2 linked regions of the Drosophila melanogaster genome follow. The protein of the gene in region 1 interacts with the protein of each later gene in a biochemical or structural test. Each region holds a gene or a part of one and is shown on either strand. Other genes may lie near its edges.

The links.
Region 2: the proteins of woc (region 1) and HP1b form a complex in vitro, tested with the Drosophila melanogaster proteins (one study listed by BioGRID).

Annotation. Positions count from the first base shown.
Region 1 is NT_033777.3:27,257,045-27,267,126, reverse strand, and holds the start of woc (without children), read left to right. Parts: upstream 1-3,071; 5' UTR 3,072-3,350; exon of another isoform or gene 3,351-3,392; intron 3,393-3,675; 5' UTR 3,676-3,734; coding exon 3,735-4,572; intron 4,573-4,639; coding exon 4,640-4,900; intron 4,901-4,966; coding exon 4,967-5,011; intron 5,012-5,178; exon of another isoform or gene 5,179-5,183; coding exon 5,184-7,036; exon of another isoform or gene 7,037-7,077; intron 7,078-7,141; exon of another isoform or gene 7,142-7,246; coding exon of another isoform or gene 7,247-7,270; intron 7,271-7,329; coding exon 7,330-8,405; intron 8,406-8,468; coding exon 8,469-8,854; intron 8,855-8,918; coding exon 8,919-9,044; intron 9,045-9,108; coding exon 9,109-9,230; intron 9,231-9,288; coding exon 9,289-9,418; intron 9,419-9,483; coding exon 9,484-9,583; intron 9,584-9,646; coding exon 9,647-9,821; 3' UTR 9,822-10,082. Other genes in the region: l(3)mbt (lethal (3) malignant brain tumor), read left to right, coding at 1-624; CG14260 (uncharacterized protein), read right to left, coding at 843-1,130, 1,179-1,640; CG14262 (uncharacterized protein), read left to right, coding at 1,721-2,398, 2,452-2,712.
Region 2 is NC_004354.4:9,078,542-9,084,462, reverse strand, and holds HP1b (heterochromatin protein 1b), read right to left. Parts: upstream 3,210-5,921; 5' UTR 3,105-3,209; coding exon 2,382-3,104; 3' UTR 1,717-2,381; downstream 1-1,716. Other genes in the region: APC4 (anaphase promoting complex subunit 4), read right to left, coding at 64-226, 288-464, 522-921, 980-1,222, 1,298-1,409; CG7246 (uncharacterized protein), read left to right, coding at 3,516-3,607, 3,665-3,968, 4,033-5,217, 5,289-5,516.

The sequences.
Region 1 (10,082 bases):
AAGGACTATGGACCACAGTTCCTGCCAAACTATCGCCTCTGGCAGCTCAACAGCGCCTTCAAATTGGACGACGTGCGAACCAATCCACTCCACTGGACCAGCTGGGATGTGTGCGAGTACATAGAGCGTGCCCTGGATTCCACTGACATTGCCAAGGTGATCTTCGAGCAGGACATCGACGGCAGGGCGTTGCTGATGCTGGGGCGCAAGGAGTTGGATACGTACCTGAAACTCAAGGTGGGCCCGGCCGTGAAGCTCTACTCCCTGATTCTGAATCTGCGCATCGCGGTCGTCTGCAAGTTTGATTCAAAAAACATCGAACTGGAGAGCAATACTGCTGGTCCGATTCAGAGGGAGATGGATACACCTGTTTCTGCGATAAAACAGCTGCCGGAGCAGTCCCAAACCAACGGCTACAAGACGGATCACGACCAGGAGCTGTCCGAGAGCGGGGACGACGATGACGACGAGGATGTGATGCTCGACAGCGATGACTTTCTCAGCGTTAAGCCGAGCTGCCTGGTCATTGACGAGGACGCCGATGGGGATGGCGATTGTGAATCCGACGGCGATGTGGCGATGGTGCCGATGGAAGTGCGCACGCCCTTGCGCACGTCCTCTTAGGACTCCGGATACCAGGCATCCGCTTCCGTTGATTGATTTATAAGATTATTTTGTTGCACCGGCCTCGGCCCATTCGGGTATTATGTTTATAGGTAGTATTTATTCTTTAAGCCGATATGAATTCGATTTTGTTTGTTTTTCGATCCCTAATCCAATAAATGATCCCTCTAGATATGTACACCATCCTGTCTATTTCCTTGGGTGGTAAGCAAACCTATCTATTCCTCCGGCGAAGGTTTTTCTTCTTCGGGCACAACTATGGTGCCATCCACTTCGAAGAGAACGTGACCGAACAACTGGGTTACCTCAACGAGCTGCTGGAACTGCTCCATGTCCTCGTAGCGCAGGTTGTTCACATCCTGGTAGTTCTTCAGCGAGGTCAGCAGTTCGTGATCGGAGAGATCTCCATCCTTTTTCAGGATTATCATCAGAGCCTTTAGCTCCTTAACACTCAGCTTGAGGAACGAGTTGTCCATGAGCACCTGCGTGGCTACGGGGAGGATTTTCTGGAATGGTATGGGGATTAAGCGAGATAAAAGTGCGGAAATTCATACTTTCGCCACGAGATCCATCAGTGCCGGATGGTGGTGCTCGCTGGCCAGGTGGAAGACCTGCAGAACCACCTCCATGGGCCACTCCTGGTGGGCCAGCTTGTCGATGTAGCAGTCGATGAAGTCCAGCATCTCGTAGCGCTCGGCCAGCAGCATGAGGTCACCGCACATGTCGATGGTCACCGCATTGCACACCTCGTACGTGTAGATGTAGAGGAGCAACGCCTCGTAGGCGGTGGGAGAGGCGTCGTCCACGCTGATCACTCGCTTGTTCTTCTGGAACTCGGGATCCCTGATCAGGCGCTCGAACTCCGCGGAGGCGGAGATGAGCATCACCTGGTGGCAGCGGAAAATGCATGGACAACGCTTGCCCTCCTTCAACTTGTCCGGTTGCGAGACATGGAGCTCGCAGTCCGACTTTTGGCCATTCCGCAACAGGTCCAGGCGGCGTAGCTTGCAGTTCATAGTGACTGGGGATTTTTTGGAGGCTTTGCTCTCACATAGCACAAAATTTGGAATTCGAAATTAGGGTTTCCCTGGCAGGAATGTCAGACTCTGAGAAGGAGGCCGCCGGCAAAGCCCACCTGGGAAGCAACAATCGGTGGTCCGACCTGGAGGAGGAGGAGGAGGGTGAGGCGAACGACCAGGGAGGGATCCAGAACTTGAGGCCGGAACTCGTTGTGCCCAGAACCACAGCTGCATCGGATGTTGAGGAGAATTTACCATTGGGTTCTCCGAGTGATGGGTCCAAACGCGCTACGAGTAGAAACCGCAGACTGGAATACTTTCGCAGTGGAGCCGATGCCGATTGCCAGGTGCACGTCCTGAGCAACTGCCCCCAATCCGATGAGCCGGCGGTCAGTGTGTGCTACAAGAAATTTGGCTGCCATCGGATCTTCCTGGCCACTGCCTCCGACAAACTGGAGCAGGACGTGTACCAGAACAAGGACTGGAACGGCGTACTCCAGATCAATGGGGTTTCGCCCGAGAGCGTGGAGATCTTCCTGGAGTTCATATACACCTTCGAGGTGACCTCGCCGCTGGTCCAGCTGAAGCTGGTGGGGGATATGTTCATCCTGTCCTGCGCGTACAACATGCCGGAGCTCCTTCGCTCCTTTGCTGAGAAACTAAAGGAGCAGGAATTGCCTCTGGATGGCATCTTTCCTGCCTTCGACCTAGCATTCCGGCATAACATCATCGATGTGGAGCGCGTTTGCATCGAGGTTAGTAGATTGGAATATAAAATGGAGCCTTAATTTAGTTAGTTATCCTTTAGAAAATCATAGAGGAAGGCGCATCATTGATCCACGAACCCAGTTTAATGAAACTCCCGGTCTATGCTCTAAACTACGCCATCCAGCACTGGCTGGTGGCGGATGCAGTGCCTCCCGATGAACTCATCACGATTTTAAAGCAGTATCAGGAGATCAATGAGATTACATTCGCCAACACGCAAAAATTCCCGCACTTCACCAAAATTATCAAGTATTTCCCCAATGTTCTTCTGGACGCCGAGGGATTCATCAATCAAAACTAGAAAACTACTTGGAATTCCCAAAAGCTTCGCGCATAAAACCCAAAAATTTAAAAAAAATAAGCCAATAAAATATCAGTTCTCATTAGCATTGTATTGGGTATCTTTTGCATATGGCAAACTGGAAGCTCATCTAAGGGGAAGCTTAGATGAAAGACAGTCTATATTTAAGTTGTAGTTTTCAATAATTTCCTATTGATCAAAAGCGATCCAAACTTTAGAAGCATTTTTCAAAAAGATAAACGAGCAGTGCTGCCAACCGGTTGCACCACTCACGCCGGTATTTTCTTATGCGCCATTTTCGGTATTTTCCGGCAGATACCAGCCAAGAAGCGAACGCGTTATGCGAGGGCCGCATTTGGTACACTAGTGCGCCATTTTACTCGCATAAAGCCGAAAATTCACACAGTGGCCAGAAAGCGAGAAATTGCACAGTGCAAAAAGGTGTTTGGTAATTGATGAAAAGTTTTGCGCGTACCGTGAACCGACCGTTAATGATGTGCCCGCACGCGCAGCGGTGAAAGGCAGTTAATTCGCCTGTGGAGACGCGCTCACCACAACAAACTCGTGCTGTCCGAAAAAAAAAGTCGGCGCTCGGATTGCGGATTATCGAAGTACCGTACGGCAAGGCAGCAAAAAAAGTACGGAAAAGCCGCCCATGCAACGCGGCCAAAAAAGATAATGCAAGTGCAGTAATATTAATTGCCTGGCAGAGCGGCGCATACAGACACACTCCTCCTTTTTTCCCCACTTTTTTTGTTCTCTGGAGGCGCATGTTTTGTTTTTTCGTGCACTGTACCGTGGGCTCAGTGTGTGTGTGTGTGCGTCGGTGTGCCTGTGCGTGTGTGTGTACACATTTTAGGCGGCAATGGTGTGGGGCCCTGGCCAGCCGATAGTCCGCCGCGCCGCGAATGTTATCGATAGACGAGCCCTAACCATTTGTTGTTTGTTTTCCTTTTGTTGCAGTTTTCATGTCTATATAAACAAACGTACAGCGAAAGTCGGTTAAAAAATCAAGCAGCGAAATGGAGGAGATATCCAGTTTGGACTCGTTCGGCGCCGATTCCAATGCGCGACCGGAGTCGGCCACCCCCAGGTCGGAGGAACAACAGGATCAGGATCGACAACAGACTGCTCCGGCGGCCAGTGAAACTCTGGATACGCCCGCCTCGCCGCCAGCGGAGGATGCAGCTGCGCAGGAAAGCAAACCGCCTCCTTCCAAGGAGGCGGATGACGACTTCGAACAGATCTCCGAGGGATCATTAGACGCCGATGATAACCAGTCGCGGGATAAGGCGGCTAGTACACCAGCTGATCCCGTGGATGCGGAGGAGCCCGCCGAGGAGCCAACGCCCAACGAGGAGCCGCAAGGCGGTGAGGATGAGCAGCCACAAACAGAAGCCGTGAGGGTAGATCCACAGGAAGAGCCCGAGGAGGCGGAGGAGGAGACTGATGCCCTCCAGGCCACTGCGGAAGAGGTGGAGGCAGCGGCCGCCGAAGCAGATGCTGTGGACGGCGGTCCCGCTTCACCCGAAGCAATGGATGTGGATGAAGGCGAGGTGGATGCAGAAGGTGAAGCTGAGCAGGAAGCAGAAGACGACGCAGCTCTGGATCGAGAGGCGACAGATGATGTAGATATGCAGTCCGTGGGCGCAGATTCACACCAGGCGGAGGATGCAGAGCCACCGGAGGGCCGAGATGAGGTGGACACAAGCTTAGAGGAGCAGGAAAATGGCCAAGATCCTGATGAACGGGAGAAAGATGCGGCCGCCGATGAAGATGATCCGGATGCAGAAGGAGATGCGGAATCGGAGCAGGTGGATGAAAATGCCGAGGAAACTGGTGAGGCCGAACATGGCGATGGTAAGTCTTAGTACTTCTTTGATGCATGTTTATAAAAGACTAAATGAATGAACTATTTACATTATAGACACAGTGGAAAATGTTTTGGAGCCAGAGGAATCAGATGTTTGCCTTATTCCCGATGATCAAGAAACGGAAGTGACTGAAGCTGAGAAGGAACTGGCCCGCGAGAATGCCGAGAAGGCCGCCGAAGAGGAGGAAGCCGAGGAGCGGCAAGCCAAGACACCCGATAACGATAGAAAGTCCCCGGCAGATGCCGCCGCCGATCCAGAAGACGACAGTGCAGCTGCCGTTGACGCCACCGACGTATCTCCAACCACGCCAACTGGTAAGTGCTCCACACTAAGACTTGAAATGCCCTATCCCACATCTACTCTATCCATTTTGCCTGCAGATGCTCAAGCTGGAGCTAAGTCGGCGGCAACAGGCATTGCAGAAGGTGAGCAGATTGGGTTAATTCCTGGGCAAAACTCACTAACTGCTTCATTCGACTGCATTCTATTCATTTAATTCTTGCTTTAAATTTAGTTTGTTATTACAAAATTGGCTCCTAGCATACAGAACGATTGCTTATTAAAATGTATATAACGTAAATCCCCTTTTTTTGCCAGCAGATGGAGTAGCTGCAGCAGCTAACGAAGAGGAGGCCGGTGGCGATGTTCCCGATCCCGACGAGCCCACAGCCGAGGAATCCTCCAGTGCCGGAGCGGGTGAACCTGGTTCCACGCCGAAAATCATCATTAGTTGGATCGTTGGCAGCGTTCAGAAGTGCAAACAGTGTGGCGATGAAAAGAATTGTGGGTTTCGGTACAGGAGTCCAGAGGAGTCAGAAGAAATGGATAAGGAGAAGGAAAACGATAAGGCAGAGGAGAACGCTGAGGAGGGGGAGGAGGAGGAGGCTCGGCAAAAGCCTGCTGCTCCCAGTGGGTTCGAGTACATCTGCGATACCGCCTGTGTCGACGCCCTGCTAGAAGATCAACCCGGCAAGTACTTTGTACGCCGCAAGAAGTTCCTGGTCGAGGAAGTGGTTCGAGAAGAAGGCGCCGCCGAAGCGGAGGCTAGCGCCGATGGCGAGGGCGGAGATGCCGAGGAGGAAGCTACTCCAGCCAACACGCAAGATTGCCTGCAGTGCAAGGATAAGACGCGGTGCAAATATTTCATTAAACAGGACCAGGACTGCTTCTACATTTGCAATGACGATTGCTTCAATCTGCTCAACGCTGAGGAGCCAGATAAATTCAAGCTGAAGCGGCACTCGATTCGAGTGCGCAACATTGGCGCCACAACGCTGCAGCCACCGCAAAATTCGCCCACCAAACGGACCGACGGCAGCGTGGTGGCCAGGACGGTGGAGGAGGCAGAGACGGCGCGCCTGGACAGGATCGAAAGCTTCCGAAGGCGCTGCGCCGACTGCGAGGCGGATATCAATACGGACGAGAAGCAGCTCATGTGGGAGACCATGGACTTCTGCAATGAGGTGTGCCTGGGCAGCTATCAGCGCACCATTGGCTCCACCTGCGAGACCTGCAAGCAGGAGGTGAGCTCCATAGCGCTTGGCAAGTACTGCGTGCGATTCGGTTTCGATGTGCGGCAGTTCTGCTGCGCCGGCTGCCTTAACACCTTTAAGAAGGGTCTGAAGACGTGCTCCTGCTGCCAGAAGGACATCAGCGGCGGGCAGGAGGGCTTCCTTGCCCCGGTGGGTGACAAGGATCAGTTCAAGGACTTCTGTTCGCAATCCTGCCTCCGTCGCTACGAAAGCATGTGCAATCCCCGACGAAAACTACGCACCGATGTCTGCGGTGTGTGCAACAACCAGAAGCCAGTGAGGGTGGAGATGCTGCTGGAGGACAGAGAGCACTACTTCTGCTCGAATCCCTGCTTCTCCGCCTTTAAGTTTGTGAGCAACGTGAACGCTGATCCGTGTGCCATGTGCTCCAAATACTTTGAGCGGCGGAGCGCCGAGTCCTACACCATCTACAACGAACAGCAGTCACCGAAGGTCTTCTGCTCGCGGGTCTGCATAAATGTGTACATCATCGTCAACAGGCACATCGTCTCCTGCCAGTGGTGCAAGGTGAAGAAGTACAACTTTGACATGATCTATCAGATTGGTGGGCCGCACGATCAGGAGACGCTCACCTGCTCCATCAACTGCCTGACCATGCACGGCGTTAGCTGCAACATCTCCGCCAGGGCGGTTACCAAATGCGACAATTGTTCCAACTTCAATACGCCACAGTATCATTTGACCATGTCGGATGCTTCCATGCGCAACTTTTGCACCTACCAGTGTGTGATGCAGTTCCAGAATCAGTTCGCCCGCGCTCCCCTCACGCTGGACAGCGACCTACCGCCCAGTAGCGCCGGCAGCTCCAAGTCCCAGCAGCAATCCAATCGAGGCAACAAGAATGCGGCACCATTTCCCACGGGCCTGCCCAAACGTGTCAAACTGAAGCTCTCCCACGTGAGTCAAAAACTAAATAATAAACTAAAAGGGTACACACTGGGTTTTTTTTAAGTTTTTACAATCGAATGATAGCCATGCAATAAGTGTTAAAATATTGAACGTAAACGAAGTATTTGCAATTTTTTTTACCTGCTCGCTTAATTATTAATACATTTACTTCAATTTGGCTTTCAATTCAAGTTTCAATTGCAATCCTAATTTCATTCAATGTCCACCAAAATGGGAATTAACGTAAATTAATTAAGTATCATACCTAAGTTGCATATAATTAATGTCCCCGATAATTGCAGACTGGAAAAGGTGGCGTTGGAGGCAAGAAATCCGGCTCCGGCACCATGCTACCGGTTATATCCACGGTGCAATCGCTCGCCAGCGGCGAAACCGAAGCCCGGATCGGCAATCTGACGGTTCGTCGCAAGCGTGGACGTCCACGGGAATCGGGAACCTCATCACCGCCGCTGTCCATGCCGGGTGTCCATCCGCCAGCACAGCGAGGAAGGCCACGCAAGCACGCTGTAGACTACTCGGCGCGTTCACCATCGCCCACGATGTCAGGTGGCAGCTCCCACATGGGCATTCCGGTCAGGCGAAATACTACCACGACTATGGATTTCGGGCCGGCTACGGTAACGGAGACCAAGATCATCACAGTGCCACCATATCCCAAGGCTGTGCGAAACGTGAACATAAGCTGTAAGCCCTTAACGGTGACCCAGGGCGAGCAGTGTAGTCCGGATGTGCGGGATTGCGCCACCCAGACGGAGAAAGACTACTCCAACAAGGTGCTCATCCCGGTTCCGGTGCCCATCTTCGTGCCGCAACCCATGTACATGTACTCGGCTCCGTTCCCCGTACCAGTGCCCATTCCGCTGCCAATCCCGGTGCCTATTTTCATACCCACCACGCGCAACACCGCGCAAGGCATACTTAAGGAGATCAAGAAGATACAGGACAAGATGCCAGAGGATCCACTGGAGGCGGAGTTGCTTATGATGGCCGAGATGGTGGCAGAGGAGAAGCACGAATCGGACTCCGATTCGGACAACGAGATCAAGCCGGATCCGGGCCTGGTAGCTCTGCAGTACCAGAACAGCCTCGAGTCCGTCGCCCAACAGCAGCAACAACAGCAAGTGGTGGACGTTAGCGGAGCCGGACATAATCCCTACGGCGACGATATGCTGCAGATAGCCCTCAAGATGGCCACAGGCGACTACGACAATCATCACCAGACCTCGACGGTGGATCTGGAAACGTCGATGACGGCGAATACGATCAGCAGCCAGTCGCCGATGGGTCACGACGGAATGGGTCAAATGGGAGTACATCATCTAGATCAGCAGCATCACATGCTTGATGCCACGCAGCGGTGAGTTAAGAGAGATGGCAATCAGAGATCAATACTCAAGTACTTAAATGTGATGACTTTCAGAACCGCACGTGGACGCAAGCGCGGCGTAGGCGTCGTCATGGACCCACCCAACCGCAACAGCCGCTCGCCGGTGAAAAGGCAGCGCGGCGGCGAGATGGATCACTCGGCCCTGCAGCAGCAGTCGCAGCAGGCACAGCAGCCGCAGGAGAAGCCCGACGCCCAAATGTTCCTGAAGTACACCTTCGGGGTGAACGCATGGAAGCAGTGGGTGATGACGAAGAACGCGGACATCGAGAAGAGCTCGATGCGCCGGCGGCCCTTCAAGACGGAGCTGCTTCAAATGACCGCCGACGAGTTGAACTACTCGCTTTGCCTCTTCGTCAAGGAAGTGCGCAAGCCCAACGGGACGGAATACGCGCCGGACACCATCTACTACCTTGTGTTGGGTATGTAGTTACTCCCCAGGTTTACACATGTACCATTTGATTTTATTGGAATCTCTTCCTTCAGGCATTCAGCAATATCTGTATGTGAATGGACGCATAGACAACATATTCTATGATCCGTACTACGAGCGGTTTACCGAGTGCCTTGACGAGGTGGCGCGCAAGTTCTCCGTGCTTTACAACGATTCGCGTAAGTTGAATCAACTTGAAATGAGTCAGTTCCAGCGTAACCACATCTTTATACACCTAAACAGAATACATTGTCACTCGCGTGGAGGAGGAGCACTTGTGGGAGTGCAAGCAACTTGGCGCCCATTCGCCGCATGTTCTGCTGAGCACGCTAATGTTCTTTAACACCAAGCACTTTAATCTGACGGTAGGAGTAAACGATGCCGCATTTGTTGACCTGGGCTAAATTGCGTTTGGTTTTTCAGACCGTGGAGGAGCACATGCAGTTATCCTTCTCGCACATAATGAAGCACTGGAAGCGCTCATCACAGAATTCCAAAGTTCCTGGCTCACGAAACGTGCTCTTACGATTCTATCCACCGCAGGCGGGTCTGGGTAAGCTCTTAACTAAGCTTCGTATGCACAGAAACTGAGCTCTTACTTAACTTTTTTTCAAACAGATGCCAATCCGCGGAAGAAGAAAGTCTACGAGCAGCAGGAGAATGAAGAGAATCCGCTGCGCTGTCCCGTCCGCCTTTACGAATTTTATCTCTCCAAATGGTTAGTTAGTATGCTTAATAATTACAAGAATCGATTGTTAATCATGGTACGTTTGTTTAACAGCCCGGAGAGCGTGAAGACCCGCAATGATGTCTTTTATCTGCAGCCGGAGCGCTCGTGTGTGCCCGACTCGCCGGTTTGGTACTCGACGCAGGCTCTGGGGCAGGACGCACTGCAGCGGATGCTGCACCGCGTCAAAATGGTCAAGGAAATCAACATAGCGCTACTAACGACTTAATGTTTAGTTAGGCAGTTATATCATTGTGTACGTGCACGGCTTGTCCTGCAATGACACCCGGAGGACGATTCTTCGGCTTGGTGCTTAGCACATGTTTGTTTGCGGGCAAAACCAAATTGGACTAACCAAGGAGCGAGAGTTGTGCTATATTATAAATTGTTTTAAACTTATTTGTACGCATATTTCGATTGTCTCTAGTTGCGATAACGCTGATGGAGGTGACCTTGTATAAAATGTGAACGCCAACCAAGCACATCTCAC
Region 2 (5,921 bases), on another chromosome or scaffold:
ATGACATTAGGATGCCTAATGATTAGTTATAATTAATGGAAAACCAGCAAAGCCTCAACTAACCTCAAAAAAGTGCGACATGCGACCGAAACCCGCGATTGTGTTGAGGAAATAGAACATGTTGATGGCTGCTCCATTCAGTTGCTTGAAAACTAAGCTCTGCAGATTGCTTAAACTAAGGTCCACCGAGTTGGCAATCTTCTTGAAACCCTTCTCGGAAAGAGTCCTGCGAAATGAACATGTCGATATGATGAGCATGAGGATCGACCAATACATTAGCCACTCACTCGAACAAAAACTCCTCTACCTCGAAGGTAGCGAATCCAAAGACGTGCAGCTCCAGAAAATGGGCAGATATCACTCCGTACGGCTGGGAATTGGCGTACCTGGTTAGCTTATTGTCCATTTCCAACTGCACGGTCTCCCAGGCCTCCGTCAAACATTGTTGCGTGTCATTAATATAGCTAAATAGCGCCAAACGATGGTTAGTAACATAACTTATTGGCAAATAAATGTATTACTTTTTGGTTTCTAGGATGTGGGCACAATGCGTTGCCAGCTCCAGCATGGGTGCCATGCAATCCTGCAGCACCTGGTTTTGAAAGTGCAGCAATATCAGCTCCTGACCGTCCCGCAAAAGAGCATAAATGGCATTACAGTCTCCGTTCATCCTCACATCGTACACATCGAACTCGTGCGGATGCAGAATGTGCTGTGTGAGATCGATGCTGCCCGCCTGCAGGGCTCCTAGGAGCAGTAGGTGCACTTTGCCGCTGCGCATTATCACCACCAGAAAGCAAGGTGATCCCTTTGGAAAGGACTTTTGGTCCAGGGTTTTCAGGCACGGATCAATATTGGTCATTGGCTGCAGTTTGGGCAGGAACCTTCGGTGTTTATCCTTGACATTACATGTGTAAGTTCCTAGAATCGTTTATAACACAATCAAATCCCTGTAGCTTATTTCGTATCGCTGGTTTACCTAGGTTCTCCTGCGAGTTGATGGCCTTGCTGAAGTAGACCTTCTTGATGTCGTCCTCGTAAATGAGGCCTGATATTATCGTTCCGCTCTCGGCGTCCAGGAGCGCCACCTTGCCGTTGCTGTAGCCAACCGCCAGGAGTGTCTCGTCCATTTGCCAGCTGAGCGAACGCACCCGCACATCCTCGCCGGGCGTGGGAAAGGTGACAATCTTTTGCCAGTTCAGACGCTGGATGACCACCTCACCTATCCACATGATTGGGATAAGCCCACTGGCAGTTTATTTGGTGATTCTTGGCAATTTCGGAGGCAGACGCTCACCCTTTTCCGTTCCGTAGGCAATTAGATCCATCTTGTTGTTCCACTCCATACGCTCCACAATGCAGGACATGTTGCGGGCGCCCAGCAACTTCATGGAGCTCGTTTGTGCCATCTTTCCACGCTAGAATTGGCTCGCGGCGTCTCTACTGTGCATCAAATATTTCAATATAATAATTTTAGTTTACACTTTGCCGGCTCCTGTTGCAGTCTATCGAATAATATTCCTGCTATCGATCAGAGATGAGCGGAAATAGTAGCTATTACAAATTGGTTTCTCCAATTCTTCAGTCATTTTTGACATTTTATTTGATTTTTGTCAAATGTTTAAACAAAATATTTGTATTAAAACTTCGGGACAGCGAGAAAGAATGTGTATTTATGATTGAAACTTCTTAGATATTTGTACTTATGCACGGCATGGCAAATTATCTGCCAGCACAATTTTGTTTTATTCGTACTTTACTTTAGTCTTACAAACCTACATAGTTTTAAAAGCTTTTGTTTGGAACACATAATGATTTGCGAAACAATGAAAAAATCGGGAAAATCTAAATTAATCGATCTTAATAACTGCCTGTTAGGAAAAAATCTCAAATTCTGGCTATAAAGGCGCTAGGTGGGCAGCACAATTGGCGTCTTTTGATTTCCACACAAAAATATTGGCAATTTCAATGTGTTTTTTTTTAACTTAAAGTGTTAGAAAGCTGGATAGTTGTTAAGATAGAAAGGTGGTCCTTCAGTCTGAGTCGTTCCTCATTGATCAGGTTAAGCGTAGTTTAGGCCAATTGTATTTAACACTGTGATGTTATATGCTTATAAAACATTTATGTGGGTCAAAAATAAAGGTAGATGTTAAAAACAATTTTACAATTGAACTTATAGATTAAGTATGTATATATATGTATATGTATATATGTATATGTATATACTACCGCTGACTGACGCCAGAACTTCAGTTTGTCCAATTTTTTTATCTTAAGGGCTACGCTACGAAATATGTATGTACATATATCGTATAAAGCCGGTGTGTATGTATCCACATAAGCGAGTGAATCCGAAACAGTCATCTGTATCTGCCACTCAACTAGTCATCCGCATCCGGCTGTCCGTTGTCCAGCTCACTACTCTCGTCCGGCTTGATATTCTCGTCTTGATTGATGCTGCCAATGGGGCTGGCCGGTTCGGGATCCTCCTCGTCACCGCCATCTATATTGCTGCCGCCACCGGTGGTGCCAACGCTGCCGGGAGCAGTATCATCGCCGGCCCCACTGCCGCCGACGGAGCCCAGGCCACCGGATGATCCCAAATTGACGGAATTCGTATTCCCATTACCATTGCCGCTGCCCGTGTGCCAGGTGAGGCGCTCCTCATAGAACTGTATGACCACCTGGGGGCATCGAGTGTTGGCCAGCTTGGCGGGCACAAGGTCGGCGTGATCGCTGCCCTTCCACTTCATGAGGAACATTAGGTGCCCGGATGAGTCGGTGGCGCCCAGTATTTTTGATGCCTCCAGACCGCGCTCAAAGCCGATCAGCTTCTTCTGCTCCTCGGTATCGTCCTCCAGGAAGCTCTTGCGCTTGCTGCGTATGGATTCGGGTGTGGAGGAGGTGGACAGGCGTTTCTTTGTCTCCTTCTTGTTGTTCTTCAGCGACTCCTCGAAGTTGGCTATCAGGTCTGGACAGTCGAGATTCTCCACCGGCTCCCAGGTGTTTTCGCTGCGCGGATAGCCCTTCCACTTTAGATAGTATTCCGTTCGTCCGTTCACCGTTCGCTTGTCCTCGACGCGTTCCACTGAGAATTCGGCCATTGTGCTTTTACGCTAATTGTGTTATTCCAACTGCGAATTTTGTTATTTTCTTGGCGTCCAAAACTTATTTATACGTGCGATTAAAGAGATTGAAGAAGAAGAAGAAATCAAGATGGCAACTCCATGGTCTCGCCATCGGCAACTATCGCTCTCTTGGCCAGTAAACGCATTTTAATTAAAAAGCTGAAACTTTAAAAACTTTACAATTGTAATTTTATCATTATCTCTTGACCATTTTTAAATTTTGACATATATATATATTTTTTTTAAATTACCCTTTCTACCATCCCTGTCAGCGATAACTCTCCAGAAATTGGACAATCGATAAACGGCCGTTGCGTTGCACGTGCGCTAGTTTTTAAAGAAATAAACAATATTACTAAGTACGATTAAGGAGAAAACTAAGCAAATATGGCCGAGTTCATAGCTGAGATGCAGGAGCGCCTGCTGCCGGAATACGAGCAGATGAAGAACTACAGCGTATTCACAGCGGATCAGGTCAGGTGAGAAATCCAAACGAATTTGGAGTCTGTGCCCCCATTTCATCCATATTCTTGCAGAGAAATCGTTAGCAGGCGGGAACGCTTGTTCCTTAAGATCAACAAGAGCCACCAGAGCATCACCGACTACCTGGACTTCATACTGTACGAGAAGCACATGCACATGACCATCGTGGACAAGGAAAAGAAGATGCACGTTAAACTCACCGGTCTAAAGGCCTCCATAGCCACGCGGATCATGCGCCTGTACAGAGAGGCCTTGGCTAAGTTTAACCACGACAGACGGCTGTGGAGCAACTGGATCAAGTTCAGCAGGAAGTCAAATCCTGTCGAGGTGGCGGGCATATACGAGAAGATGCTGCTGGTTAGTATTTGCCAGCCTGCTCACTTCCATTGATTACTTATCCATTGTTGTTATTCTTTTGCAGTACCATGGCGACTCGCCGGATCTTTGGGTGGACGCCGCCTTATGGCTGTACGAGTTCAATCGGCTCAACATCGATCGAGTCAAGGACATCCTGCTGCGTGGCTTGCAGAGACATCCGGATTCCGAGGCACTTAACAAGTGCTTCTTTGACATTATGCTGAAAGAGGCTGCCCTGGCCAGCAACGAACGCAATTTAGCCGAGAATACGCTCTCGGAACAGGACATCAAATTGGAACGCGTGGAGGCGGTCTACCGCAACAGCATGGCCAATATTACCCAATTGGACTACTTTGTTAAGCTTCTAGAAAGCTGTGAGGATCATCAGGAGCTGACGGGCAAGCTGCAGCGAATGATAATCGATGATATGCAAGAGAAGTTCCCCCGGGAGCCGGGCCTGTGGGATTTGCTTGCCCAGCGAGAGTTGCGCGGCTTTCATCTGGGCGACCTGGAGGAGGAGGACTTGGATACCAGTGACGAAGAGCCGGCCAGCAAGAAATCTCGTTCCGTAAATGGCCGCTCTCTCAAGCGACGCATTCAACTCTGCGTTACTGTATACAAATCGGCGGTGGAGGAGCTGCAAACGACAGAAATGTGGAATATGTATTTGGATGCCATGCTGGCACTCAATAGCGATGGAAAGACGGAGCGTATACTAAAGCAACAGTGCCTAGCGGATGCCTTGCAGGCGGGCCATCGCTCTCAGTTGATGGGCGTGAAACACTATGCCACATTAAGAAAGATGCTCTGCACTGCTCCGAGTGGAAGGGAGGCAGCTGTCACCATACTCACGGAAGCCCTGAAAAACGATTCATCGGTGGAGATGCACGAGCTTCTTCTGGCCACGCACATTCAAAGCGACAGTGAGCCCTTGATCTATGAGCTATTCAACAAGATCCAGAAGAGCATGGGCAGTGAGGCGTTGCCGCTGTGGCGCAGTGTCATTCTGTATTATCGCACTCGGCAGGATAGCTTGGGCGCACGCCGGCTGGATGAGATCTACGGTCTCGCCTGCAAGGCTGCGTGGCCGGAATTTGGTGAGCTGCGCTCCGATTATTTGCGCTATCTGTGGCAGGAGCGGTCTGTCGAGGAAGCACGCAAGGAGTACGCCAAGCTGGCCATTCTACCGCCCATGTCGTTGGCGCTGCACCGCCAAATGGTTCAGCTGGAGTCCAGTGCGGCAGCTTGTGTATGTTTTGTTATCTTTGCTACTTTGGCATATAATTGCGAGGCGCAACTAATTTACTTTATCTGTTGCAGGACCAGGCCAGCCTGAAATACTGGCGCATGTGCTACGACTTTATGGCCTGCTATTTCGGCAAGACACAGCCGCGCGTTTGGGTGGAGTATCTCGCCTTCGAGCGAGATCACGGCGAGGCGAAGAACATCTCCCTGCTCACCCAGCGGGCTCTCAGCACCCTAGAGCCTCAATATGTCGCCGCGTTTGAGGCGGAACGGGCACTGGCCTATGTGGGCGCATCGATATAGTTGGCTAAATAGTTTATTTGTGCTTCTGTTTTTTTCATTAACTTAATTTCTAAGTCGATCTTTCGGACTGTCTATAGTGATTCGATTCTAAAATAAGGACTTGTGAATATACAGCTTATAAGATAATTTATGAAATCTGATTTTTACTTTGGCAATATGCAGGTGTGTGAATTCAAAGTACAGTCATATGGAAAAGTTCTCATTTAACCATCCTATTGTTGAAATGTCCTTTTCAAAAGCGGTTAAATTATGAGTAATGCTATACGAGAATATCCTTTAACCTCTTCCGTCGACGGATGTGCTCATAAATCCGAGCTAATTGCGTTTTCCGAAGGTAAACAAAAACATGGGCATTAACTTTGCCTGCCTGACGCCGCTGCCGCCGCCGACAGCGCTGCCGACGTC